Linked DNA regions of Oryctolagus cuniculus. The protein of the gene in region 4 interacts with the protein of the main gene of each other region in a pairwise test. Links are inferred from orthologs where the notes say so. Each region holds a gene or a part of one and is shown on either strand. Other genes may lie near its edges.

Region 1 (3,960 bases), on a different chromosome or scaffold from region 4:
AAAGAAAAAAACCTGAACTGTGGGGCCCACGATGTGGCACAGTGGCTAAACCCCCATCTGCAACACCAGTGTCTCATGTGGGCACTGGTTCAAGTCCTGGTTGCTCCACTTCCAATCCAGCTTCCTGCTAACACACCTGGGAAAGCAGCGGATGATGGCCCTGTCACCACCGACATGGGAGACCTGGACAGTACCTGGCTCCTGGTTTTGGCTGGGTTGCTGCAGACATTTTTTGTTGTTTGTTTTGTTTTGTTTGTTTTTGACAGGCAGAGTGGACAATGAAAGAGAGAGAGAGACAGAGAGAAAGGTCTTCCTTTGCCGTTGGTTCACCCTCCAATGGCCGCTGTGGCCAGCGTGCTGCGGCCGGCGCACCGCGCTGATCTGATGGCAGGAGCCAGGTGCTTTTCCTGGTCTCCCATGGGGTGCAGGGCCCAAGCACTTGGGCCATCCTCCACTGCACTCCCTGGCCACAGCAGAGAGCTGGCCTGGAAGGGGGCAACCAGGACAGAATCTGGCGCCCCGACCAGGACTAGAACTCGGTGTGCCGGCGCTGCAAGGTGGAGGATTAGCCTAGTGAGCCACGGCGCCGGCCGCTGCAGACATTTTTTAAAAGACTTTTTTATTTGTTTGTTTGTTTGAAAGACAAGGTGGCAGAGGAAAAGACAAGAGAAACAAAGACAGACATAGATCTTCCATCTGCTGGTTCACTCCCTACATGTCCACAACAGCCTGGGTCGGGCCAGGCTGAAACCAGGAGCTCCATCCGGGTCTCCCAGATGGGCAGCAGAGACCCAAGCAGTTGGCCCATCATCCACTGTTTTCTCGGGTGCAGTAGCAGGGAGCTGGGTAAGAACTGGCGCCACAATGCTGGCCCCTGTTGCAGGCATTTGGGAATGAACCCACAGATGGAAGACATGTGTCTCCCTATCACTTTGCCTTTCAAATAAATAAATCTTGAAAAAAAAAAAAAAAGACACTAGGAAAGATGTCCACATTCCCTGGTTCACTGCCCAGCTGCAAGCCCAAGTGGGGAGACCCGGATGGGGTTCCTGGCTCCCGGATTCATCACAGGCATTTGCAAAGTGAACCAGGGATGGGATTCTGTTCTCCCTCAAATAAAGGGCAGAGGGAGCCGGCACCGTGGCTCACTTGGTTAATCCTCCACCTGCAGCGCCGGCATCCCATATGGGCACCGGGTTCTAGTTCCGGTTGCTCCTCTTCCAGGCCAGCTCTCTGCTGTGGCCAGGGAGTGCAGTGGAGGATGGCCCAAGTGCTTGGGCCCTGCACCCGCATGGGAGACCAGGAAGAGGCACCTGACTCCTGGCTTCGGATCAGCGCAGTGCGCCAGCCGTAGCAGCCATTTGGGGGTGAACCAATGGAAGGAAGACCTTTCTCTCTGTCTCTCTCTCTGTCTATAACTCTACCTGTCAAATGAAAAACAAAACAAAACAAAACAGCAGAAAGGAGAACCTGCTTGGGGAGCCCGGGTTGGAGTCCCGGCTCTGCCTTTGACTCCAGCTCCCTGCCAATATGCACCCTGGGAGGCCCCAGACCACGCGCAGCCCGAGTACCCGAGTCTCCCTCACCCACCGGGACCCCAGACTGTTTGAGGCTCCTGGCTAACAGACACTCGGAGGCTGAGCCACAGACGGAGGTGTGTGTGCGTGTGTGAGTGTCCTTCGGATACACAGACAGAAGTTTCTCAAGTGTCAATCACACAATGAAAGAACTATATCGCAATGAATGGGCAAAGCTTCCCAGAGGCCGGGGGCGCCGAGCCACACCAGGCTCCCATCTTTCCTCCACCCAGGAGAAGCCCCCGGGGCAACCCGCAGGGCCAGGACGCGGCAACACCCAGCTGACAGGCCCCCCACGCCCCCCGCCGCACCCCACCGCCACCAAGCCCGATCCACCGACCCGGCCGGGCTGCCCCAGAGCCCCTCCCCAGCGGGCTCTGCCCCGGCAATTCTGTCATCCCTCTGCAGCTGGCCCGCGTACTGCTCCTGACAAGCGAGGGGCCATTTCCGAGCCAAATTCAGTCCAGATAAAGAGGCGCCGGCAGCAGCCCCCAGCCGTCTTCCCCTCCACTCTCCGACTCCTTCCCGCTCCCTAGAACTCGGGCAAGCCCCTGAGACCCACGCGGGACGGTCTGAGTCCCCGAGTGACAGACAGAAGCAGGGGCGCACACAGGTGGGCAGGAAGCCACCAGGGTCTCCAGGAGACCCCCGATTCGCGGAGCGGCCTGGAAGGGGCCCCAGCGCGAGTCCCGAGCCTCCAGGTGAAATGGCTTTTCCTCCACTCGCGCCAATTCAGAGAGGAGGAGGGCGGCGGAGGCCAACGCAGCACCCGGAGATGCACTACGCGGGTGGGCAGTGGGCACGGAGCGGCCGCGTCCCGGACCCACGGCGCAGGAGCGCGGGGCCGGGGCCTGGGGGCGGCCGAAGAGGGCCGGGGGCCGGCCTGTGCCGCCAGGGGCAGCGCGCGGGACGGGGCAGAGGCCAGGGAGGCGAGGTCAGGCCCCGGCCGAGCAGAGCTCGGGACGGGCAGGACCAGCCGGGCAGGGGCCCAGAAGGCAAAGGAGACACAGGGTGGCCGGGGCTCGGGGCGGGCAGCGAGCAGAGCCGCCAGGCGCGGGCCCGTACCTCTCCGGAGCTCGCCATGTTGCGGGCCGGTCGGCCGTGTCCGCTGGAGCCGCGGCCCCGGGAACCGAAGCCGGCCCCGCCAGGGATGCTCCAAGCCGGGGCGTCCGCGGCTCACCAGAGACCGCGGCCGGGGGCGGGGCCTCGGCCACTTCCGGCGCCCGCGGAACGCACTTCCGTCCGCGCCCGGGCGGGCCCTCGCTCGGCGGCCATGTTGGGTGTGGCGCTGCCCGGGCGCGGAGCAACCGAGAAAGCCGCCATTGGCTTCCGCCTGCTCGCAGGGCTCGGTCCCCAGCTCCCCTGCGCTTTGCGCGCCTCTCTGCAGCCATCCTGGCCTCCTCCTGCGGTCCCGGACCGCTGCCCCTGCCCACTGCCTGCTGTTAGCAGCGTCAGCCACAGCCTCCCTGGGCCCCCGGCCCGCGCGCGTCTTCCTGGGGCGCTGCACCTGCCAAGCTGCTGTTAGCGTTTCGTTTATACCCCCCCCCCCCCGTGCTTGACCACAGAGGCAGAATCTGCCACCTCCCTGCGTGGCTCAGCCCTGAGGGAGTATTTGCTGGACGCCCTTGCTGCTAGCATTTGCCTGTAACGGGGTAGTGTATGAATTAAAAAAAAAAAAAAATTTTTTTTTCTTGTTTAAATCATTCCTGGAGTCAGAAAGAAGTGCGTTTGGTTTCGGTGCAAAGTAGCGCGAAGCCTGGGCCGGGGCCCCCGCACCCCACATCCGAGTGCCCCTCCGAGTCCCCGCAGCTGGCCTTGGGATCCAGCTCCCTGCCCGCGCGCCTGGGGAAGCTTGGCCCTGAGCCCCTGCACGCACGTGGGAGACACAGATGGAGCTCGCGGCTCCTGGCTTCCGTCTGACCCGGCCCTGGCTGCTGGGGGCACCTGCGGCGTGAACTTGTCGATGGGAGATGTCTCTCCCTCTCTCTGGCTGTGCCACTCTGCCTTTCAAATAATTCGGTTTTTAATTTTTTTTTTTTTAAAGATGGTGGGGCTGTTGGCACAGTGGGTTTAACCGACACCTCTGGCTCTGGCACTGGCCCTGGCTCAAGTCCCGGCTGCTCCACTTCCGATCCAGCTCTCTGCTAATGCACCTGGGAACCAGTGGAAGGTGGCCCAAGTGCACGGCCCCTGCCACGCATGTGGGCTCCTGTGGGCTTGGCCTGGGTCAGTCCCTGGCCATTGCAGCCATCTGGAGAGCGAACCAGCAGACGGAAGACCTCTCTCCCTCTTCTCTGTCACTGACTTTCCAATAAATAACTCTTTTAGAAAAGTTTAATAAAACAATTTTAAAAAGAAGACCGTACATGTTCCTAGGGCACAC
Region 2 (3,500 bases), on a different chromosome or scaffold from region 4:
ATGCAAAAAATAATGCACTGCACACGTAAGTAACTTTTATTTACTTATTTTTTTTTAAAGCCAGCTTAACTTTATTTATTTATTTATTTATTTATTTATTTTTGACAGGCAGAGTGAACAGTGAGAGAGAGAGACAGAGAGAAAGGTCTTCCTTTGCCGTTGGTTCACCCTCCAATGGCCGCAGCGGCTGGCGCGCTGCGGCCGGCGCACAGCGCTGATCGGATGGCAGGAGCTTTTCCTGGTCTCCCATGGGGTGCAGGGCCCAAGCACCTGGGTCATCCTCCACTGCACTCCCTGGCCACAGCAGAGGGCTGGCCTGGAAGAGGGGCAACCGGGACAGAATCTGGCACCCCAACCGGGACTAGAACCCGGTGTGCCGGCGCCACTAGGTGGAGGATTAGCCTAGTGAGCCGCGGCGCCGGCTTTATTTACTTATTTTTAAAAATTTTTTTTGACAGAGTGGACAGTGAGAGAGAGAGACAGAGAGAAAGGTCTTCCTTTTCTGTTGGTTAACCCTCCAATGGCCGCCATGACTGGTGCTCTGCGGCCGGCGCACCGCGCTGATCCAAAGGCAGGAGCCAGGTGGTTCTCCTGGTCTCCCATGGGGTGCAGGGCCCAAGCACTTGGGCCATCCTCCACTGCACTCCCGGGCCACAGCAGAGAGCTGACCTGGAAGAGTGGCAACCGGGACAGAATCTGGCACCCCGACTGGGACTAGAACCCGGTGTGCCGGTGCTGCAAGGCAGAGGTTTAGCCTATTGAGCTGTGGCACCAGCCGTAAGTAACTTTTAAAGTCTTACTTGAACCCAGAGTCATAGTTATTGTTTCGAGAAGTATTAGGAGCCTGCTGTGTGTCAGGCTAGCATAGGGGAGCACAGCAGTGAGAAAGGCAGACCTGGATTTTTCTCCATGATGCTGACCGTTGCCCACCCACAGTTGTTTACCTGGCTAGGCAGTTTTGCTTAGAGTCCTCTTTTTGATACGCTGCCATAGCATTTTTTAAGGTCTGTGTTTTTCTTTGCTGATACTTCTATAGTAATATAATTTTAGCAGACTGTTAGAAAAATCATATAGGCTTATGGACACATTAGTATTATATATTAGCATTATGTATTCTAACTGGAAAATGACAGTTTTATAAATCAGGTTCCCAGAATACATTTGAAGAGTTTCTAAGCTATTTGTCTCAATTATATATATATATATATATATACATATATATATTTTTTTCTTTTTGACAGGCAGAGTGGATAGTGAGAGAGAGACAGAGAGAAAGGTCTTCCTTTGCCGTTGGTTCACCCTCCAGTGGCCACCGCGGCTGGCGCGCTGCGGCCAGCGCATCACGCTGATCCAAAGCCAGGAGCCAGGTGCTTCTCCTGGTCTCCCATGGGGTGCAGGGCCCAAGCACTTGGGCCATCCTCCACTGCACTCCCTGGCCACAGCAGAGAGCTGGCCTGGAAGAGGGGCAACCGGGACAGAATCCGGCGCCCCGACCGGGACTAGAACCCAGTGTGCCGGCGCCGCAAGGCGGAGGATTAGTCTAGTGAGCCGCGGCGCCGGCCTGTCTCAATTATATTTTAATATGATTCAGTGTAACCCTTGGTGTGAAAGATCTCAAACCTGATTTATTTTCCATTCTAGAAAGTTATTTATGCATTTGTTTTAAAGACAAAGGACAATTAGGAATTTATTTTTCCATTTAAGATTCTTAGGTAGTACATAGTGCTGTATGCAGAGGTTAACATTATTTTTTAAGGTATTATGAATTCAGTAAAACATCTGTGTACTTTTAGTAATAATAAGATTTGAGATTATATACAAGGGTACTTCAAAAAGTTCATGGAATATGTGTGTTATTTTAAAACTGTGCATATATTCTAACTTTTTTTTGTACCAAAATAAGCTTATTAGAGCAAATGTTTAATGATTATGAAAGTGCCTGGGTTCCATTCCTGGCTGAATCTCTTAACTCCTGGTAGCATGGAGGCTGGCAGACAGCAGTGATGGCTCAAGCATTTGGGTTCCTGCCACCCATGTGGGAGACCAAGACTGTGTTCCTGGCTCTTGAATTTGTCCCCAGCTCTGGCTGCTGTGAGCATGTGGAGAGTGAACAAATGGATGGGAGTCAGTCTCTGTCTCTTCCTCTCTCCTCTACTTCTCAAATAATTTTCAAACGTTAAAAAAAAGCTTGTCTTTTAATTCTATTGTTGCATGAACTTTTTAAGTACCTGCACATATATGGATAATGTCTATGCCTGTCCTGTGTGCCACAATGATTCAAGGCTATGGCAGAAATCAAGCAAGAACCCGATACAGTGTGTTCTGTGTTCTTTCTCTATCTTCCTTGTTACTGACATTGGGATTGAGATGCAGTGTATGTATAAATATCTTGTTAAGTCTTCCTTTTAGTGGGATAGGCTAACTAGAATGCCCCAATATCACACAAATATGTGTCCCAGGTGATGCTTGATGCTGTGTTTTTTAGACCCCTCCACATTGCTGCACGCAATGGCTTGAAGGTGGTAGTCGAGGAGTTGCTGGCCAAAGGAGCCTGTGTGCTTGCTGTAGATGAAAATGGTAAGTGGAAAAAATAAACATTACTGCCTGTGTCTTCCATATGCCGATGGAAGCCAGAGGAAAATGAGAGAGGTTGGAGCTTATGAACAGGCAGTAATAATTCTCTCCCTCTTGAAAGTCCCATGTGTGTGAGAAGTCCAGCAAGGTTAATTTGTCCTGTCTGTCATTTTGTAAAACACATGGTCCACCTATAGCCCACCAGTGCTATCCATTCTGCATGTGTCAGCAGTTGGTCTCTAACTCCTCAGCGTGGTGGTTAAAATCATTTAGACTCACTAAAATAAAAAAAACTTCCAACTTGGCATTCAGAATTCTAACTGCATACACTGAAGAGTTAGGGATTACACATGTCATTAGTGCATGCTCAAGGGCTCAGATAAAAACCTAGGTTTTTGATTGTATTTCAATTCATTCTGAGATCAAACCATTTTTTTAAAGTCCAGATCAGAACTCATATTCCCAGTATGGAAATTTAGGGAACATGAATAAAAATTTTAATTAGTGTCCAGGCTTGAAAGCTTCTCCTGATCTATATAATGCTTCTTTTCTAAACGAGCTGATTCTTAACAGAAGCTTTCTACTCTGCTTCCTAAGAAATTTTGAAAACTAATGAATCCTAGAATTGTACTAAGCTACCATTTAAGCATAACACCTATTAATTAACCTTGGGGAGCAAAAGAGGAACTTCTGGATATTTATGAATTAAGTGATTTTTAAAAATGTGGCATTAATTGTGGCATTTAATTAAAGCATTATAATGTATTAATATAACTCAATTAACTGCTTATTACAGGTATTGGAATTAGCAGCTCATGCCTATTTCTCAGAAGTAAGCAGCCATATTGCCATCAGTAGCTAACTCTTAGTAGTTTTGTTTCTGCAGCCCCATTTACCCAGCATGTACCCTGCTCCATCCCCAACAT
Region 3 (3,500 bases), on a different chromosome or scaffold from region 4:
GGGTGGGATGCCAACATCGCAGGGGGCAACTTAACCTGCTATGCCACAACGCCAGCCTTACTCCAAGAATTTCCGACCTCTAAGAAAATAGCAAACTGGTTATTATTTTGCTGTGCTTTAATCTACTGGATCATGACGTGGGACAGTGATGACGCGGGATTACCTTGAGTCACTTGGGCACAGACCACTTCCAGCGGGCTTGTAGCAGTCTCTGTCCCTTCTGGAATCCGGAATGCGGGTCCCTGAACAGCGGGACAGAAGAAGGTTACTGTGCTGCCGTCAGCTTACCCGCAGCAGAGCCCCGTGAGGCCCCCGGGGTGCTGCGTGAGGGCTGCGCAGCGCCGTACCTGCTCCCGGTCCATCTGGCTCACCACCGCTTCGTATGGGGGCGGCGGGTCCAGGGGACAGAACACCTCCACGCCTTTGATTCGTGCTCCATAGATGTGCGGCACGGGGATGATGTCAGAGGCGGCCATCCTAGGAACAGCATGGCGCCGCCGTGAGGAAGCCCACTGTGCGGGCGGCCATCGGCCCCTTAGGACGAGGGGCGCTCCCCGGTCCCCACCTCAGCCACCTGGTCCGCCCCACCCCTCCCTCCGCCTCCACAAACGCCAATCCACGGGACAGAAAAGGGACCAGGGGCTCCCTGGGGCTTGGGGAGGGCAGGAAGGGGCGTGACTGCCACTGGGTAGGGGTCTCCTTGGAAGTGAGGAAACGAATGAGATGGAGGTGTTGGAGGCATGGTGCTGCCACTGAATTCCACACTGCAAAGGGGTTAATTTCCTATTACGTGAATTGCTCAACACCGAGGACAGCTTCTTACAGTAGTACCTGAGCAGTTTCTCGTCCCTTACACGGCAGACTCACCGTTTGCCAAAGAAATACCTGAAAGGTGAGTTAACATAAAGCAAGAAGTGAACCACGTCCCAGCTCGGAGCCGGGGCGGGGACAGCAGGCGCAGCCACGGAGCTCCCCCAGGAGCTGCCCGCCAGGCCCGCCCCGTGGACAGGGGGCGCTCTCACCCACAGGGCTGCGGGCAGGGGCAAGCCAGGGGCTGCGGTGGGAAGCACAGGTCTGTACTCTGCTGGCTCCTGAACCCAGCCCAGGTGGCCAATAGGCTGGCACTCATTTGTAACAGGAACCCCACCACCACCAACAGAGGGAGAAGCACACCCAAGAGTGGAATGAACAAGGGGAAGAGGTCTCACAGCTGAAACAAACTATGTGGGTGCAGAGAAGCTGAACCTCAGGGAGAAGCCCACTCCATACCCTGCTACCTTAACCAGAACCGCAGCCGCTGTTCTCTAGGGTCAGTGAGTTTCTCCCCACAGCCTCCTCCTCCCCTCTTCTCTCTCATCCCCTCTCCTTCTCCCATTCTGGGCCTGGGAATACATGAGGATTCTTTATCGCTCACTGTTTACATTTGCTATATTTACCAATTCTTCATCATCTACAAATTACTGACGTTTAGACTTCCAAACTGCCTCCACCACGACCCCTGACTGCTTCTTAGATAATTTTCTGGGGGAAAGGGTTGTTTTTTGAGGGAGTTTTTTGTTTGTTTGTTGTCCTATGTGTGACAGACCCTCAAGCAAATTTTTTTTTAAATCTGGAAGATTTCCTGCCAATGTTCATGGATAATTCCACAAAATAAGAAACTAGATAATGAAAAACATGAAATTTAAAATAATTACTGCAAAAAAATACACACAAAAATCCAGAAAACCTTCATTCTGGCTATGGAGCATTAGAGAATGAAAAAAAAAATAAGATAATAGCAAAAGTATAACATCTGTTCTTGAGATACAAAAAAGGGAAAAACTCAAAGAGCCTGATAAAAAGCCGGATTCTGGGGGTCAGATGCATGCAGGTGACTGAATTTATGATCACTTCATTTCCTTCTTTGTGCTCATTTGAAGTCTGATGGGTGGAGGCAAAAAGTTGAAAAAGTTGTGATGGTCTTTCTTCCTAACAACAAAGTTCTGGAATTCTGGGATTTAAAAAAAATGAGACTTGTGCAGTCTGAAGGAAAACGCAGGAAAGCTCTGCCCCCTTTTCCTGTACGTTCCTCTGGTCATGAACCACACACATTCCCTGCCTGACCCGAAAGGGAAGGGAGAAGGTTCTGGGTCAACAACATACACCTAGCAAGTGCAGCCTCCCATCCAAGGAGAAGTGGCAGTCATGGGGCGGGGCTCCTGGCAAGAACAGCCTGAAAGACATCTGTTCCTCTACCTTGGTCCATCTTCTGTTGCTTTAGCAGAATGCCTGGGACCAAGGGATCTACGAAGAAGTGAAGGTGATTTGGGCTCACAGTTCTGGAGGCTGGCAGTTCAAGGGCATCATGGTGGCATCTGGCAAGAGTGACAATGGCTGCAGAGTGAGGGGCCACATGTGGAGGACACAGCACCAGGGGCAGTGTCACACTGTAACAATGCGCTCTCCAGGGGACCTGATCGAGGCCTGCCAGATGAACCCAGCCCCAAAAGAAAGGCAGGGGCCCCTCCCAATGACCCACACACCCCAGAGGCCCCACCTCCACACAGCACCACCAGAGCACACAGGCTGCAACATGAGTTTAGAAGGGACAAACCCCATCAAACCACAGCAACTCTGAGAGCAGGACTTGCCCATGGGTTTCCTCCAACCAAGGCCATGAGCGATTCCAAGAAGCCACTCTTCTGGCCCTAACTGGAGACTGCTCACCAATGACTGACAAAGTTTGTTTCAACCAAAGCGACCTAGGGGCTCCTTCTGTCCCCTCCAAAGGGCCCGGCTGCAGCCTTTAATTAGCATAACCCCCATGAACCAGCCTTCCAAAACTTAACAAGCCTCAGCAAACAACACAGGCATTGCTTCCCCGCTGTGGGCCTTAGCTAGAGAGTGAAACCCCCAGCGCTGCCTGCCTGACTGTGGGATAACCCTGCCAGCTTACACCCGAGCTGGGGTGACCTGGGCCTTGCTGAAGGCCACAGGCTTGGAAGAACAGGTCCCATGTCAGATCCTAAACCATCGCAGAATCTCTTCCAGGGGAAACGGGGTGCTTTTTCCAACCTGGCTGCAGAAGGAATGACGTCACAGTGGCCATCCCCAGGACCAGAAGAGCCTCACTGTGAGCAAGGCTGCTTCAGCATCAACCAAGGAGAGTCTTTCCCATTAAGCAACTTCTCATTTTACTGGTGAGTTGCTGGCTTTTGCTCTGATCCCCTGTCACTCCCAACCCTAGCCATGGAGTCCAACCCCTCTGGGAGGTTCTAATCCCAAGATTGGCCTGGGCCTCCCCTCTAGGAACCATCTCTCACTGCCTGTGGTGGGGCCCAGGTCTCAGTGTGGTCAGTGTTCTACAAAAGGCAATGGGCCACGGGGCCGGTGCCATGGCTCACTAGGTTAATCCTCCACCTGTGGCACTGGCACCCCATATGAGCACCAGGTTCTAGTCCCAGTTGCTCCTCTTTCAGTCCAGCTCTCTGCTGTGGCCTGGGAGTGCAGTGGAGGATGGC
Region 4 (3,500 bases):
GCGGGCTGGCAGCCGGGGCGGCGGCGACGCCTGAGCTCACCTGGCGATGCCTCCGTAGTCCAGGCCCTCCTCGCCACGCATGATGATGTAGAGCCGGCGGCGCAGGTCGTAGGGCTTCATGTTCATGATCTGGGGAGACAGAGCATCGTGGCCCGCCTGCCACTCACCCTTCCACGGCAGGAAGGGGTAGGAGGGATCTCAGGCCCGCCCCCTCCACAGACACGGCCCCCAGGCTCATGGTCATAACCTGGGCACCGGGCTGATTCTCTAACCTGCTGGAAAGAATCCTCAAAAAGGGTCTGCCTGGAGACGCTGATCTTCACGTGGCTGGGCAGGGCATTGGACTGGGAAGAGAAGAGAACGCCGCACACTGAGGCCTCCGGGTGACCGGCCTACCTGGTGCGCACCTGCCAGGGTAGGCGGCCCGGCCCCGAGGCTGTCACGTGAGAGCCTGGCCCCGTGGGGACAACCAGCTGTGGTGGCACACGCGCAGTCCTGTGCCCACGCTGGGCTGGGGAAGGAGGCTGAAGTGACTCGATGCCCCCACCTGCCGCGGGAGTCCCGGGAGCACAACTCACGTGGCAGAGGAAGCGGAACTGGTGATACTTCCACCGGAAGCTTCGGTCGTAGGCACCAGGGGAGCCTTGCTTCGTCCTGGAAAGGAAAGGTGTTCCGGAAGCCAGGTGAGCTCTCGGGAACTGAGCGACCTGTCTCCATTAGCCCAGCAAAGCTGATGCCGTGTTAACTTAAAGGCGAGGAGTAAGGAATAGGAGAGAAGGGACTGCCAGTGAGGCCTCTGAAAAGCCAAAAAACAGAATCCAGAAACGACGACAGAGTCCTGCTCTGACAAACACCAGGCAGCCAAAGGCGGGGAGAGCCCTTGCTGCCCGCGGCCTTCAGCTTGCCATCAGCACTGGCCGCTAGGGGGCAGTAAGCAGCAGAGCACGTCTAGGGGTCCCCACTCCGTCCAGCAGTGGGCCTCCCGGAGCCCGCGTTGACGGGACACTGCTGGGCGTCCTGACATCCTTACCCCGACTCAAACCCTGGCCGAGGATCCTTAAAGGTGGTGGTGCGGGTGTTGTGGTCCACGAAGTACCGCACGCCCTCGCTGGTATACTTCATCTCCCAGCCCGGCGGCAGTGCCGGCTCCTGGATCATCCTGCAAACAGGAGGGACGGGGTGAAGGCCAGGCCCCGCATTCCGGGCCCCAGTGCACAGGAGGCCGGGGTCTCCCAAGTGCTGCTTTGTCTCTGCTTTCACCCAGTGCTACACAGCCCTTGGGGGTACAAGGGGGATTTAGGATATGCACTTGGCATGATCCAAGTCATGGGTGTAAAGAAGCCATCTTCTATCCCAAGGCCAAAAATCCAGCCCCGGGTGGACGGCGGTGGCTGAGTGCCCAGGCCCTGCACGTTGGCAGTGCTGGATGGACGTACCCACAACCTCTTTGTGATCAAGTTCTCAGCAGCCAGTACCAGCGGCATACAGACCAGCGACAACCGCCAGCGGAAAGGTCTACTTCAGGGACCACTTCCAAGCTCTCAGAGGCTGACACTAGATGGGGAGATGTGTGTGGCTAAAGGTCCCCAGCAGGAGCCCTGCAGGACAAAGTGGTCCAAGGCCACTTGGCCAATGCTGGAGCTGCACACAGGCCCAGCCCAGCCCCCTTCACTCCCAAAACCCTTACCCCTGGGTCCGAGGGTCTTCCCACTGGGTCGTGCGTGTATTATGGTTCACGTAATACACCCGGCCATTGTCCTGTCTCTTCTCTGCCATGGGAGAAGAAAAGAGAGGGAACAATTAAAATCCAGCAGCTTGAGCTGGGGCCATCCCGCAGCCCCGGCTCCTGGGTGCTGCGTCTGCTTTCCTGTCCGACACCAGCCTGCTGGAGAAGCGGACCCGGCCACTGGGAGACAGCACAGAATGGTCCTTCCCTGGTTGGGGTTGGGGCAGGGGCACGGACACACACACTGCAAGGGGAAGAATCCCGCACCTCTCTGGTTGTTTGCTTTGTCAGAGGAAGGGGGGCGGTGTGGCGACACAGAGGGGGCAGCCGGCTGAATCCAGGCATAATTGCATCCAGCTGTGGCAGCAGGGACGCCCTCAGCCCCAGGCCCTGCCCCACCCCGAGGCTGGCGCAGGCGGGTAATCCATCCACTCCAGGCAAGTGGGAGAGAAAACGAGGGGCCAAGGCCCCAGACCCAAAGGTGGTCACCTTTCCAGGAAAGTCCTGGGTTTCAAATCTGTTTCCATCCTGAAAACAAGGGATGTGGATGGTTCTGCCCCTTTCACAGTGAAACGCGAGGGAAGAAGTCGGACAATCCTCCCTCCCCAGAAGCTAAGGGGCACACGCGGGGGACCAGCAGCCCCCACTCAAGAATCGGGCTGCAATGGTCCCAGCGCCAAGCCAAGGGCTGATCCCTCTTTGCCTTATCTGCTCTCTCCTACTCAACTAGAATGTCCCAAGCACAAGCACTATTTATCAATCACACTCTAATAAAGCTGGAAAAACAAGTAACATAAAAATAAAAACAGGCAAGGAAGCACAGGAGGTGCAGGGAGCTGCGGCAGAGCTGCCGAGGCGGCGTGCAACTGACCTGCAGGGGAAGCTGCCCGAGAGGGTCCTGCCCGCCCGGGAGCCCCTGCTCCGAACTGTACGCCCTAGGGCCGCTCTGCTGAGGACTGAGTGGAGCCTAGCGGGGGTCTGGCCCGGCTGTCCAAGCCCTGGGCCGTTTTCCTGGCACTGCACAAATGCTGCCATGACACCTCTCCTGGCCCACAGAGCTGCCTGCGGGAGCTGGGGCAGTCTCCAGAGAGTGCCGAGCTCAACCTCACTTTCAGGAGCAGGCGGGCCGGGGCGGATTTAGCCACGAGCGAGCAGCAGCAGACGGATCTAAACCTGAGGCATCCCAGCTCCCACGGCAGTGCCTGGGACAACCATGGGTCCCAGGAGCTGAGTGCCGGAGGAACGCCGGCAGACCGACAGCATGCTCGCCACCAGTGCCGGCTCCTTTGGCCCCGCTGCCCTTCCTGCTCGTCCTTTCCCATCCCTGGGGAGGCGGCCTCCCCCACAGCCCTGGGGAAGCAACACAGAGGAAAGCCCCCGGCCTTTGGGCAAAGAGTTCTGTTTCCCGGCTGTGCACCAGTACAGTCTTATGGGTCTTTTCCGATCGCTGGCAAACAGCAGTGATTCGGCTTATGGCTTCCCTATTCTCATCTCAAATATTTTCCCTCTGAGCATCTGGGAGTTGTTTTCCAGACTCTTTAGTGGCTCTCACTTGGTGACCATCGTTCAGAACTGGCACCGAAATAAACTCACTTGACCGGGCTACACTACCTGCTTCTACAGAATCAGAAACAAACTCCAGTCCCCCAGTTTTAGGTCACCGACTACCAAATGGCATAACGGATTCTTGTTTAACCCGGCACGCTTTCCCCATGGCTGGTTTAGGTAGCGATCCCAAGTGTTTACCCTTTTACATCTGACTTACTACTAATCT
Region 5 (3,932 bases), about 40 Mb from region 4:
TCCCGAGTCCTCCTCACGGCTGTGCCAGCAGCAGTGAGGCAGAACCACGGGGAAGCAGAGCCTATCCTGCCACTTGTTGACTGACTGGATGCTTTCTCAGAGGACAAACACATCTGGGCACAAACCTGGTGCGGCCCAAAGGGAGAAAAGTCTCAGGTCACGTGGTGCCTTACAGGTCTGTTTACCAAGGCTGAGGGAGGGTCGCAGGGGTGTGGAGGGCACTCAAAGGACTCTGGTGCAGAGGGCAGGGCGAGAGGAAGAGAGGGAACGTCATCTTCCCTGGGATGTGAGGTCCTCTCAGCCCAGCTGCTTCCTCCAGGCGCTAGGCAGTGTGTGCCCCAGAGCCTCAAGCCTCTCTAAGCATCCCTCTGGGCCCGGAGCAGCCTGCCCAGGGAGCCAAGATGCTGGGGTGCCTCTCCATCCCCTAAACGCCGCTTTCCTCATCAGCAGGCGGACCTGGGGAGAGGCCCTTCACGCGTGACTTCATTCTTAACAACCCTGTAACCCCATTTTACACACAAGGAAACCAGACGCACGGAGATGAAGCACCCTGCCCGAGTCACGGAGCCGAACCTGAAACAGTCTAGAGGCTGCGTGCCGAGGCATCCAACCACCCTGCTCTCCCGGAACTCTGCCCCACTGGGGGCTCCCACTCTACAGACAAGCTCGCCGGGCCACTTCTTCCTTCCCAGGTCTCTGCCACGCCACGCACGCTGCCAGCACCTGGGTCCTGGACAGTCACTGGGCTGTTCTCCACTCCAAATTTACACGCAGGCTGCCACATCTCTCGTGAACGAGGACCCAGTGCCAACCCCAAGTCTCCTCCATGGCCCCATTTCTCCTCTCACCTTCTCCCCCCAGCCCCAGGGTGCCCTTTCCACAGACCCCCCAGAAGCCCTGGACACCACAGTCCTTCCCCCTTAACCTCTCTTCCTCCCATCTTTGCAGTCCCAGTGCTGAAAAAAAGTCGCCCTCTGCTAACTCCAGACTCACTCTCTGCCATGCCAGGTCTCTGCTCCTCAAACAGCTGCAGGCCTACCCTAATCCCTCCACTCCCACACTCACTCCTATTGGCTGATGCAGATACTCCCTGGGCACGCAAGTAACTGCTTCTGGGGACCAAGGAACCCTCACCGGGAGATGCTGAGCCCCACCTCTCCCCCCAACAACACCCCGAGGCCCCCGGGGACCAAGTCAACAGGCTTGCCTTCTCCTTCCATTACTCACTCACTCCCCCTCCCCCATCTTCCCAGACAGCTACACACTCCCGTGCTGGACACAAGGATCCCCTGTCCCTCGGTTACTTCACCAAATTCAAGCACTACCAGCTTGCTCTCTGCGCCCGTCCTATCCCGGCTGCCCCGTTCACCAGGACCATTCAGCACAGCCACTGAGTTCCGGCCCGGAGAGCTTGCCCAGTCCCAGGCTCCCGGGTCCTTTGTCCAGGGAAGCATCTTTCCTGCCCCCACGAGCTTCAGGACACCAAGGCTCCTGGTGCCGCCTCTGGCAGTCAACCACAAGGTCCCCGGATCGCCCAGCACCCAGTGCCCAAGGTGCGCCTGCCTCTCGGCTGGCCTCCCAGCCTGGAAGAGAGGTGGGTCCCCCCGTGGAACAAGCTGGTCTCCCACATCCCCTCACGGCTCTCCGGCCAACACCAGAGCACCCAGTCCACCGCACAGACACCAGTGCCTCCATCTCATCAACCCACCTCAGGACCCTATCAGCCGCTCCGGCCAGGACCCCGGCCTCTCCGTCCCGAAGCTGGAAACGCGGCTCCTAACGCCCAGCCCACCCTGCTGCAAACCCCAGGATCACCATTTCCAAGCCTCTCCCCAAGCCCCTAAATAGAAAACCTCTTTTTCTTCCGACTCCGTTCGGTTCCAAAAACCACGGTTTCCGGTCTCCGAGCCCTAAGGTCCAGAACCCTCCCCATTCCCTGGACCCACCTCTTTTCCGACACCGACAGCGCCCACCCCCAGCTTCTCCCCCGCGCCGAATGCCAGAATCCACCCGCCGGCCGTCCCGAGGCCCCGGTCCCCAGATCCTTCGCGGCGGCCGATCGCAGGACCCCCCGATCCTCACAGCAAGTCCCCGACCTCGGGCGCCGGACTCCCGCGTCCCACAGCCCTATCTTGGCCCAGACTCCAGGCTCCCCGGCCCCCGCCCCGCGCACTCTCACAATGTCCGTCCGGCCCCGAGTAGCCGCCGGGCTCCGGGTGCGGCTGCAGCCCGGGCGGCGGTGGCTGCGCGGTCCCCTCCAGCTCGGAGCCCCCCTCGGTCTCGACCTCCTCGTTGTTGTGCCCAGGTCGCCCCGGTTCGTCGTCGGCCTCGAGCTCCCGCTCGTCGTCGGGCTCCTCGGCCTCCAGCGCAGCCTGCAGCCGGTCAGCAAGCTCGGCCTTAAGGCCGCGAGTGTCCAGGCCGCGGCGCTGCAGCTCCTCGCGAAGTTCGTTCACCTTCAGACGGCGTACATCCATGGCCCGGGCCCCCGGGGCGGCCCCCGAGCCCGGCCCGGCCTCCCAGGGCTCTGTCCCCCTTAAACCTCTCCTGTCAGGAGGCGAAGGGGGAAAGGGGGGGGGGCTACTCCAATGGCGGCGGCGGCTCAAAATGGCCGCCGCCGCCGCCACCTCCCCCTCCCAGTGCGCCGTACGATGCAACACGGGTGTCAATTGGCCAGCGCGCGGGGGCAACGGGCGCGGGCCCGGAGACTCAGCCAGTTAGAGCACAGTTTTCAAAATAACGACAGTGAGAGGGCCTACGAGCAGCCAGGGAGGAAGCGTTGGCCTACGTCGAAGACGCGGCCCAAGCGGAGGGCGGGAAAAGGCAGAAGGCGGAGCGCCAGCTGATTGGATGGCGCCCGCGCGCCCGCTGCTGTAAGGTCGAATGAGAAAAGGGGAGTAACGATTTAGTCCAATCAACCTTGGGCTCTCAAAATGAGCGCCCCCCCCCCCCCGCCTTTCCTGCGAAGTCCTTTCATCGAGCTAAGTGTCTTTGCAACACACATTCTGATTTGTCTACATCTCCCGCCCCTTGAGGAGTACGAGCGGGTAAAGTCACTAGAACCAATCAAAACGAGGGTCGGTAGAAACCCCTCCTTCCTGTTGCCTTTAAGAAACCGGAAAGAGAAAAATTCACGAAGGACCCGCCCCTTGCCGTTAGGGCGGTTTCAAAACAATCTGTCCACCAATTGCATTTATTGTCTCATCTCACTGAGGGCCGGTAGAGATGGGTCGCTTGAGGAAAAGCTAACAGGATTGGCCGTTTTTCAGAGGCTTGCCTCACAAATTTCGCCGTAGAGGGAGGCATATGGAGTAGATATTAAACAGATATATTATTCATAATCTGGAACTCGGCTGTTTTATTATTACTTTTTTAATGAAAAACGGAACTTTGGCGAGTCCTGCAGGTTTGATACTAGAGGCTAGGCCAGCGACGAGAGAAAAGTTGTCAAGGAAACCGCGTGTCCATCCCCTGGCCAGCTCGCCTCGCGGGGCCTCTGTCCGCGACCGCAGCCTCGCGGAGGCCGTGGAGCCGCCCCTCTCCGGGTAGAGCCCCGCACTGAGCGGCTGTCCCCTCCCCGACCCTCTGCATGGCTGTCCGGGGCACCTGGCCGACGGGCTCAGAGACGCGGATCGGGCCTCCCGCTAATAAACACGGACGCCCGAGTTCCCCGGCGTCTAACGCCGCGCCACCTGTCGCCTCTAACTCAAACGGACAAACCCGGAGTCAGACACACAGCCGAGGCACGCAAGGCCCACACCCGCCACACTCCAGCGGAGCAGACAAAGGCGCGCGCCGCGCAGATACACCCCCAGGCTCGGGTCGGATCAGGTGCAGCACACCGGCAGCGCAGGTGTGCCCGCGAAGCTCCGCGCGGCCGGGCGGCCCCACACCGCACCGACCCAGCGGACAGTGCCACTGCAGCCACCCGGACA
Region 6 (3,500 bases), on a different chromosome or scaffold from region 4:
CACTTCCTGGACTGTAGTGGCTCCTCCTCTCCGACAGGTGGCGGTAACTCCCCCAGCCTCCCAGACCCGCTGCGCAGTGACCAGGAGGGAGGGATAGGGGGCGGGCGGCGCACCTCGTGACGCACTCACCACGCTGCGCTCGAGCTCGCGCTCCTTCTCGCGCTCGCGCTCTTTCTCACGCTCACGCTCCCGCTCTCGCTCCTTTTCTTCGCGCGCGCGCTGCTCGGCCTCGCGCCGCACCTTCTCCACCAGGTCGGCCCGCTTCTTGGCCAGCTTGGAGCCCTCCAGCGGCACGAAGTATAAGTCGCTGCGCGCGCACGAGTTGAAGCCGCGGTCCAGGTGTTTGTTGAACCTGCCAGGCGCGGGAGGTAGCGCAGCTGAGCCCGCGCGAGCGAGCTGCTGCCCTCAAGGGCCGTTTACGGTGTCCTTTTACAGAGCACCGCGAGACCGCCAGGCCCCTACCACGTCTCCCTGCTCTGTCCCCCATCCCAACCCCACCTGCACCCCGCCCCGGACGCCCGCTCACCTGGCAGACTGACTGGCATGGCTGGGCATGTCTACCACCTTGGGAGGGGGCGAGGGGCTGCGGGCCGGGGGCGCCGGGCTCTCGGGGGACTCATACTCCTCCGCCGGCTCCTGTTTGATTTGCGCGGCGTTCAGGGTGGGCCCTGAGTTAGGGGCCGCAGGTGGCGGCGGCAGAGATGACAGGTTTGAGGGCCCCGCAGGTGGCAGGGGCCCGGGCCCCACCGTAGGTGAGCCTGGCTTGAAGGTCCCCGGGCCGGCAGGCGGTGAGGCGCCTCGGTAGCCCGGAGGGGTCCCTGTTCGGAAGGAGGGCGGCGACCCCGGCTTGTATCCGGGCGGGGTGGCCGTCTTGTAGGCCCCTGGGGACGGGGCTCTCTTTCCGTACGGTGGCGGCCCAGGCGGGGAGGCCGTTTTGTAGCCTGCTGGCGAGGAGGCCACGGTGGCGATCACCGTGGAGAGGGTAGCAGAGGTGGTGACCGGGGGCCCCGGTGGGAAGGGGTAGGGCGCGCCCTGGGGCCCCTGTGAAGGGGATGGATGTGAACAGGGGTAGGAACCTTGAGAAGAGGAAGAGGAGTTGGAAGAGGAAGAGGCTGGGGGGCCGTTGGGGCCTGCTTGGCTGTAGGACACCTGGTTGTGGGGTGGGGGCAGGTGTGCCGGCCCTGGGGGATAGGGCCTCAGAGAACCCAGAGAGGGAGACATGGTGTAAGGGTGGGCGTGGTGGGAGCTGCTGCTCTCCAGAGGATGGGGGTATGCGCCCGGGGGAGGCGGCCCGGAGCTGCCGTGGTGATGTTGTTGCTGCTGCTGCTGCTGCTGCTGCTGCTGCTGCTGCTGCTGGTGGTGGTGGTGATGGGCTGGGGCTGGTGGGTGGGCAGTGGACTGGCCCCCAGAGGAAGGCGCGAAGGGGCCAGGATGGGCATTGCTGTTGGCTAAAAGGCGGCCATATGGGGGAGGGGGAGGAGGTCCCTGGCTCCACACGGCCTGGGATGGGAGAGAAGGCTGAGTGTACTTGGGTGGCTGATTGGAAACAGAGAGGCTTGTGGGAGGGGGGAAGGAGTGGGGATAACTGGGCAGTGCCTGGGAGGCTGGGTACTGGGGGGCAGAGTTGGAACTGGAGGAGACTGCCACAGAGCTGCTGGAAGAGGATGAGTAAGAGTACCTCATTGGGGGGGCTGGGGCGGAGGAGGAGGATGCAGGGGGCAGAGGGTGGGGCGAGGGCGCCAGGGCCGGGCCCTTCTCTGGGCCAGGAGGAAGTCCACCCATATTCTGGCCCATGGCGTGGGGGGAGGGCAGATGCCCAGGTAGCGGCTGGGCCCCCAGGCCAGGAGGAGAAGCTGATGCATTGTTGAGAGGCCGCAGGGCAGGTGGGGGAGGCAGGTTTGGTGTCACGTGGGGGAAAGTGGCGGGTGGTGGAGCAGCGGGCAGATTCCCACTACCCAAGGGAGTGGTAGGTGGCTTTGTTGGGGGAGCACCACTGGCCCCAGAGCTTGATATTGAAATGGGGGTAGTGGGTGGAGGGTGCTGCTTTCCCCCACCAGGGGCTCCAACTGAAGAGGCAGTCCCTCCCCCTTTGGGACCCATTGGAGGTCCGGACAAAACCCCTCCAGCAGCACCCCCAGAGTAGAGCTGTGGGTGAGGGGGAGGAGCCCCAGGAGGAGCCTGGAACATTCGAGATGTGGGGGGCTCCATGGGAGCATGGTATCCAGTGGGTGTCACAGGATGGGGTTCAAAGCCAGGCTCTGGCTGCCGGGGGGTGCTGTCTGGTGGTGCAGGGGAAGGAGGAAAGAGTGGAGGCGGGTGGTAGGGGCGTGCTGGCCCCTGGGACAGGCCAGAAGACGAGTCGGAGTCATTCTCCACACTGCCAGGGCTGTAGATGCTGGGGGACGTGCTTCGGTTGTCCTGGTCGATATCCCGAGGGTCACTGCTGCCGTCGTCATTGAGGCTCCGCCCGTCCAGGCTGTCCAGATCCGAGGGAGACTGTGGCCGCGGGAGCTCCTGCTGTAGGGAAAGCCATTTTTGCCTCTTTTTTCAGTTCCTGTCTCCCAACAGCGGGGCCTCTCACAGCACATGACGCACCGACTTGTGAAGAGTGTTCCTGGTCAAAGGAGAATCCTCACTCTCCTGGCATCCTCAGGCGCCCCTAACAGGCCACCTGTTTCCCTCCTTGTACAACCCGACTCCCTCTTCCAGTGTCTACCCCACGCACCCTCCCCACCCACGACTGACTCGGAATCCCTGTCCTACACCATCTCACACCCACCCTCCTCTCCTGTCATCATCCCCAGACCCTTGGTGCTTCTTACAGGACCACTTCTGTGTTTCCCTTGGCTTACGTGTTCCTCTCACTCAGAGGCTACAGTCCCCCAGAGGCCCTGCCTGCTCCTCTAGCAGTCAAAGCCCTACATCTGCCTGACAGCTCACAGGACCACGCTGGTAGGCACGAAGAGATGGCTGTTCTTATTTCCCAGGAGGCTTTAAGGTAGGAATGGTGAGCTAAAGAAACTTGAGGAAAAGAATGGTCACAAAACAGGGGCCAGTGGAACGGGTTAAGCTGCCACCTGCAACACCAGCACCTGTGGAAGCTCTCTCGTCTCTCTGTAATCCTGTCTTTCAAATAAATAAATCTTAAAAAAAAAAAAAAAAAAAGAAGAAGAAGAAGAATGGTCAGAAAGCAGGCCAGAGGTCAGAAGGGTCCCCCACCTCAGTTTTGGTCTTTTTTGGTGCATTGGTCTCCTCACTTTCACTCTCTGAGATCTCTTCACTCCGGCCCTGCTTGTTGACCTTTGGGGTGGAGGCTTCCTCTACTCGGGCCTTCTGTGAGAGGGAAAGAGAAAACTCTGTCTTCCGCCTCCCAAGCCTCCACTGGGCCTGCTCTGCCAGACAGGAAGTCCCCCACAACACCCGCCCCCAGCATGCTGCGGGAGGACCTGAGCACAGATACCTTGGCTGTCTGCCTGGACTTCTCGGCTTTGCCGTCACTG
Region 7 (4,268 bases), on a different chromosome or scaffold from region 4:
GCCCTGGCCAGCCAGTGCCAGACTCCCCCTCAGGTCACGTCAAGGTAGCCAGACTGCTGACTGGACAGTCGGCACATGTCTGTGGCAGCCGAGAGGAAAGGGAGCCACTCCGACACGTCGCCCGCGACCTCGGGGGTCCCGCTCGCTCTCCTCACGCCAGCCCCCTCTACGAGGGTCTCTGGCCAAAAGTTGCGCCCAGGGCGACTCTGCACCTGTGAAAGCCGGCAGCGGCTGGCGCCCCGTACGAGGCGTCCCCCTCGTGGCCCCAACAGGCCGGAGAGAGGGACAGCAGCAGGGCATGCCGCGACGCGGGCCCCGGGAGCCCACGGAAGCCCGGGAACGCACTCGCGCGAGCGCGGGCGGGGGCGGCCGCTCGGGAGGGACCTTTACCGGCGCACGCCGGTTCCAAGCCGCGCCCCAGCCGGCCGGAGCCCACTCTCCCCACCCGCGCCGGCCCAATCCAATCAGCGCCCGGCATCGCCTTAGCAACAGGCTAACAAACCTGGCCCCGCCCCTCGCCGGCCGCCCGGGGCGGGGCCTCCGCTGCCAGGCTCGTGTGAGAGCTCTCAGCTAAAGTCATTGAAACTACTCCAGGCAGAAGCTCGTCCACGCGTGGCCGGCTTCGGGGGGCGCCCGGCTGGGTGCGGGGCGTTCGGTTTTCCTCACCACGAAGTCGAGGTGCAGCTAACGACCTTGCTTTCCGCCCCAACGCATTGTTCTACTTTCCCTTCACTGCAAGGCTCAACTCTTGAGAGAAAAACCTTTTGTTTCTTCTCATTTTATAAAAGGCTCGAAATCAAACTCGCGTGTGCGCTTTGCAGCACACAGCAGAACTGTCATCAGGCGCTTTGCATTTCCTATCAGAGTTAACGCTTGGGAAGATGAACTAGAAATTACTTCAAGATGCAAAACCACCTAGGTGAACTGTGGAAACCCTGCCGAAGAACTGATTTCACCTGAGCATTTAAAAAAAAAATGCAATAATGCTGTAACTCAACGCTTCCTTTATTTCTCCCTTCCCTTAATTCAATTAGCATTTCCCTGGGATGTATATCTTGAATATAAAAACGCAGATAAAAGCGAGCCTCTTTCTGAAAAAGTCAGCATTTGCACTAAATACTGCATTAAAAAGGAGAAGCACAAAATTACATAACCAGTTTTAACATTATATTCTTCTTGGGCTAGAATTAAGTCATCGCCACCACCTGACGCGTGTAACCAATCTGCTGAGAGCTGCACAAGCGCCCCTCCTCACCACCCCCCAGAACTGGTCCGAAACAGGATTGAACCGCTTCTAACAAAGGGTGGAAACTTAGAAAAACAAGCTTAGAGTCTCCTATATTTCCACAATGTAGCCATCTAAACAATAGAGGGGAAATCTCAGGACCCCCTCTCCCTTTGACAACCCTCCATCTCCCCCTTCTAACCAAAAATCAAGTCCAGTGTGCGGTCTACTTTTCAATTCCATTGGACTGGCAGGGTTTCATTGAATGCACGTTCCAAAGTTAGACATGATGCTTGGAGAAGAAACTGCTGGCCCTGAATGGCTTCTGAACCTGACTGAACACCGGCCACGGTGATAGATACTGTCTTTTAAAATAAGGAATGCTTGATGCAAAATTCCCAAAGCATTGGAAAGAAGAGGTTAAAAAAAAAAAAAAACACGTGGGGTGTTGGTAATACCATATGTCAAAATAAGCCAGGGAAACCCTCTCTCAAAGAACAATGATCAATTCCTTATAAAGTCCTTTGCACGTTAATATTAAAAGGAAACACATCTACTAACCCTCCTAAAATGTTATTTCATTCCTTCCTTCAAGCTCAGGTTTTGAGCTAAGGTTGCAAAGAAAAAGGAAAAAATTTTAAAAATCTGATGCCGGACCGCAGCTTTCATCAATTCATTTGAAAACGTAGCAGTAAAATCATGGACTCGGAGGCAAGCAGAATTTCCGAGTGAGGTGCAAATGGACCGCAAGTGCGTATGGCACAGCCCGAGCCGGGTCCAGGGGTGGTGGAGACGAGGTGCAGTTTGCAGTCGCTTTGCAGATGCCGGCACGCATTACAGCCTCCCGTCAAGGAGAACCCAAACCTCGCAACTTTGCTAGCCTCCAGCAAACGGCCGAGCTACGCTGCGAGAACCACGTCCACCCGAGAAAGCCAGCCTGCAGACTGCCGAATGGTAGGAAAACTTACCTCTTTCGTGCCCAATTAAGATGTCTTTATGGTTGAAGTATTCTACTTCTTCGGTGTAGTTCTGCGTGTAGGCAGTATTGGAGCCGGCGTTTCTAGACTCCGTCCAGCGTACTTTCGCATGTCCTCTTGCATGAATTTTAAGCGATTTTACTCTGATTTCCCCAGTAACTTCTAAATTCACCCTTCCTGAGACAGTATCCCCGCTGGAATACACGGGGACATTGCTGTCATTCAGACAGTCGAAGCTTATTGTCAAATTCTTCACCTTCCCCAGCACCATGTTGATAACAAAAATCTATAAAAAATATAATGTAAGACCCCCAAAAAAGTCAAGATCGCATATAAAATGGGATCTTCACTCAACACTGATCGATGCTTCTGCCGTGCAAAAATGCAAACCCTTGCAGGCAGGATCAGTAGCTCCTTACAGACAGTTCATTGAGAGCTCTTAAAAGTCAGGGCAGCAGAGAGGCTGCGGCGGCGGCTCCGCGCGCCCGCCCGTCTCAGTGGTCTCCTTACAAAGACGGGCGGCCGGAGCCTGCCAGCTCACTTTAAGAGCAGCTTTGTGAAAAACAACCCCAGTGCGCACGCGCACGCCGCCGCGGCCGCCGGCCCCCCGGGCGCGCGCCCCCGCCGCGCCGCGCCGCGCCGCGCTCGCGCCCTCGCCGGGCACGCGCGCGGGTACAGTAGGCGTGGAGCCGGGGAAGCCGGCACGGGCGCTGCCGGGAGGCCCGGCCGGACTTCGCTGCATTGTGGGCTCCCATTGGCGGGCGGGCTGCCGGAAAGCCCCGGCGTGCTCCCCGGAGCCGCTGGCCGGGCGGCCTCTGACAGAGCGACCGCCGGCGGGGCGCTGAGGGACCGCGGGCCGCGTGGAGGGGCGGCCGGGCCGGCGCACGCGTTAGCGGCGCTGCGCGGATTCGCCCGCCGCCTGCCTGGGAGGAGGAGGAAGGGGGAGAAACCGGTCGGGCCAGCGGCTGGGTGGCTGAGCCTGAGCTAACGACTTTCGGGAGGAAAAAAAAAAAAAGTCCTGAAAACCGGGCCAGGAATCGTGGTCACAGACGAGAGCAGTCTCGGCGTGGATTTTATGCGCGTCCGTAGATGGCTGTAGACGGGGTGGAAGTGAGCTCCCTGGAGGCCAAAAGGGGGCCTGCGGAGCGGACGCCCTAAGGCAGCGAGGAAGAGGCGTAGGTCCCGTCCCCTCGGGGGGCTGTGCCGGCTCCGGCTACCCCGAGCGAGTCGCTGGCGACGTTGGGGGCAGGCGGCCCGCTTCCCCCGAGGAAGCCGAGGTCCTTGTTAGGGACGCCAGCCGTGGCCGGAGTCAGGGTGCAGGGTGCGCGGCTGCAGCCCTCGCGTCCACAGTGCCACCTTGCAGAAGGCAGGTGGCACGGTGGCGGCTCGGCGCACAGCCTTGGTGGGGAGTTGCTGGAGCGCGAGCGATGGTTTGAAGGAGCGAGATGCAGCGTGTGGAAAGCATAATTCTTAGCATCAGTGAGGATGCGGATTCTGCGGAGCCGCGGTTGTCCGCTGGACTGTTCAGCCTAGTCATTCCCGTGCATCCTAATAGGTACATTTGTCTTTTTTGATTGTGAGTGTTTCGGTAAGAAATAGCAGAGCCTGCGTCACGCCCCACTGGGATGCAGAGTGTAACAGCACAAACTCGTGTAGATTACTGGCCTCCGCAGAGCTGCTGTCAGGAGAGCTATAGAAAGACAGAAAAAGATGGGAATCTGAAGCCACATATACGTAACCAGGAATTCTTGGGAAGGTTTTTGGCTACGGCTGTGTCCATACGTTTTAGATTCTTCTGCGTAGTATGTTTGGGTAGATGGAGCCCGGGAGTCACAATAAATGATACTCGGCCTTGCTGTTTTGGAGGAAGTGAAATTTTACTGGGTTGGGTTTTAGTTGACAAGGCAATGTCTAAGGACTCCGGAGCAATAATCTGGAAAGGGTAAATCTGAACACGGTTTGGACGGTGAGTGATGCCGTTTATATGAGTTTTAAGGTTTAAAAATAAGAATTTGTGTATTTCCGTATTGGAAAATTCTCCCCTTCCTCCCCCCTTGGTTGACACC

The links.
Region 1: the proteins of WWP2 (region 4) and FBXL18 interact in a two-hybrid assay, tested with the Homo sapiens proteins (3 studies listed by BioGRID and IntAct). The link is inferred for Oryctolagus cuniculus from reciprocal best matches to the Homo sapiens genes WWP2 and FBXL18.
Region 2: the proteins of WWP2 (region 4) and ANKRD44 interact in binary tests that used the Homo sapiens proteins (3 or more experiments, as listed by UniProt). The two-hybrid records come from large-scale screens. The link is inferred for Oryctolagus cuniculus from reciprocal best matches to the Homo sapiens genes WWP2 and ANKRD44.
Region 3: the proteins of WWP2 (region 4) and ENTREP1 interact in binary tests that used the Homo sapiens proteins (3 or more experiments, as listed by UniProt). The link is inferred for Oryctolagus cuniculus from reciprocal best matches to the Homo sapiens genes WWP2 and ENTREP1.
Region 5: the proteins of WWP2 (region 4) and HNRNPUL1 interact in binary tests that used the Homo sapiens proteins (3 or more experiments, as listed by UniProt). The link is inferred for Oryctolagus cuniculus from reciprocal best matches to the Homo sapiens genes WWP2 and HNRNPUL1.
Region 6: the proteins of WWP2 (region 4) and ATN1 interact in a two-hybrid assay, tested with the Homo sapiens proteins (2 studies listed by BioGRID and IntAct). The link is inferred for Oryctolagus cuniculus from reciprocal best matches to the Homo sapiens genes WWP2 and ATN1.
Region 7: the proteins of WWP2 (region 4) and ARRDC3 interact in binary tests that used the Homo sapiens proteins (3 or more experiments, as listed by UniProt). The link is inferred for Oryctolagus cuniculus from reciprocal best matches to the Homo sapiens genes WWP2 and ARRDC3.

The regions. Positions count from the first base shown.
Region 1 is NC_091450.1:39,433,334-39,437,293, forward strand, and holds the start of FBXL18 (F-box/LRR-repeat protein 18), read right to left. Parts: upstream 2,801-3,960; 5' UTR 2,661-2,800; coding exon 2,643-2,660; intron 1-2,642. UniProt on the Homo sapiens protein: Substrate-recognition component of the SCF (SKP1-CUL1-F-box protein)-type E3 ubiquitin ligase complex.
Region 2 is NC_091434.1:43,296,597-43,300,096, forward strand, and holds part of ANKRD44 (serine/threonine-protein phosphatase 6 regulatory ankyrin repeat subunit B), read left to right. Parts: coding exon 1-25; intron 26-2,485; coding exon 2,486-2,577; intron 2,578-3,370; coding exon 3,371-3,406; coding exon of another isoform or gene 3,407-3,432; exon of another isoform or gene 3,433-3,476; intron 3,477-3,500. UniProt on the Homo sapiens protein: Putative regulatory subunit of protein phosphatase 6 (PP6) that may be involved in the recognition of phosphoprotein substrates.
Region 3 is NC_091432.1:161,049,366-161,052,865, forward strand, and holds part of ENTREP1 (endosomal transmembrane epsin interactor 1), read right to left. Parts: intron 478-3,500; coding exon 348-477; intron 243-347; coding exon 164-242; intron 1-163. UniProt on the Homo sapiens protein: Functions as an activator of the E3 ubiquitin protein ligase ITCH in the ubiquitination of the CXCL12-activated CXCR4 receptor. Thereby, triggers CXCR4 endocytosis and desensitization, negatively regulating the CXCL12/CXCR4 signaling pathway.
Region 4 is NC_091449.1:53,024,632-53,028,131, reverse strand, and holds part of WWP2 (NEDD4-like E3 ubiquitin-protein ligase WWP2), read right to left. Parts: intron 1,770-3,500; coding exon 1,688-1,769; intron 1,160-1,687; coding exon 1,031-1,159; intron 655-1,030; coding exon 579-654; intron 345-578; coding exon 273-344; intron 130-272; coding exon 41-129; intron 1-40. UniProt on the Homo sapiens protein: E3 ubiquitin-protein ligase which accepts ubiquitin from an E2 ubiquitin-conjugating enzyme in the form of a thioester and then directly transfers the ubiquitin to targeted substrates.
Region 5 is NC_091449.1:13,345,315-13,349,246, forward strand, and holds the start of HNRNPUL1 (heterogeneous nuclear ribonucleoprotein U-like protein 1), read right to left. Parts: upstream 2,801-3,932; 5' UTR 2,475-2,800; coding exon 2,180-2,474; exon of another isoform or gene 1,947-2,179; intron 1,922-1,946; exon of another isoform or gene 1,709-1,921; intron 1-1,708.
Region 6 is NC_091440.1:102,606,731-102,610,230, forward strand, and holds part of ATN1 (atrophin-1), read right to left. Parts: coding exon 3,461-3,500; intron 3,334-3,460; coding exon 3,220-3,333; intron 2,518-3,219; coding exon 527-2,517; intron 353-526; coding exon 130-352; intron 1-129. UniProt on the Homo sapiens protein: Transcriptional corepressor. Recruits NR2E1 to repress transcription. Promotes vascular smooth cell (VSMC) migration and orientation. Corepressor of MTG8 transcriptional repression.
Region 7 is NC_091445.1:14,128,087-14,132,354, forward strand, and holds the start of ARRDC3 (arrestin domain-containing protein 3), read right to left. Parts: upstream 2,801-4,268; 5' UTR 2,474-2,800; coding exon 2,194-2,473; intron 382-2,193; exon of another isoform or gene 301-381; coding exon of another isoform or gene 213-300; intron 1-212. UniProt on the Homo sapiens protein: Adapter protein that plays a role in regulating cell-surface expression of adrenergic receptors and probably also other G protein-coupled receptors.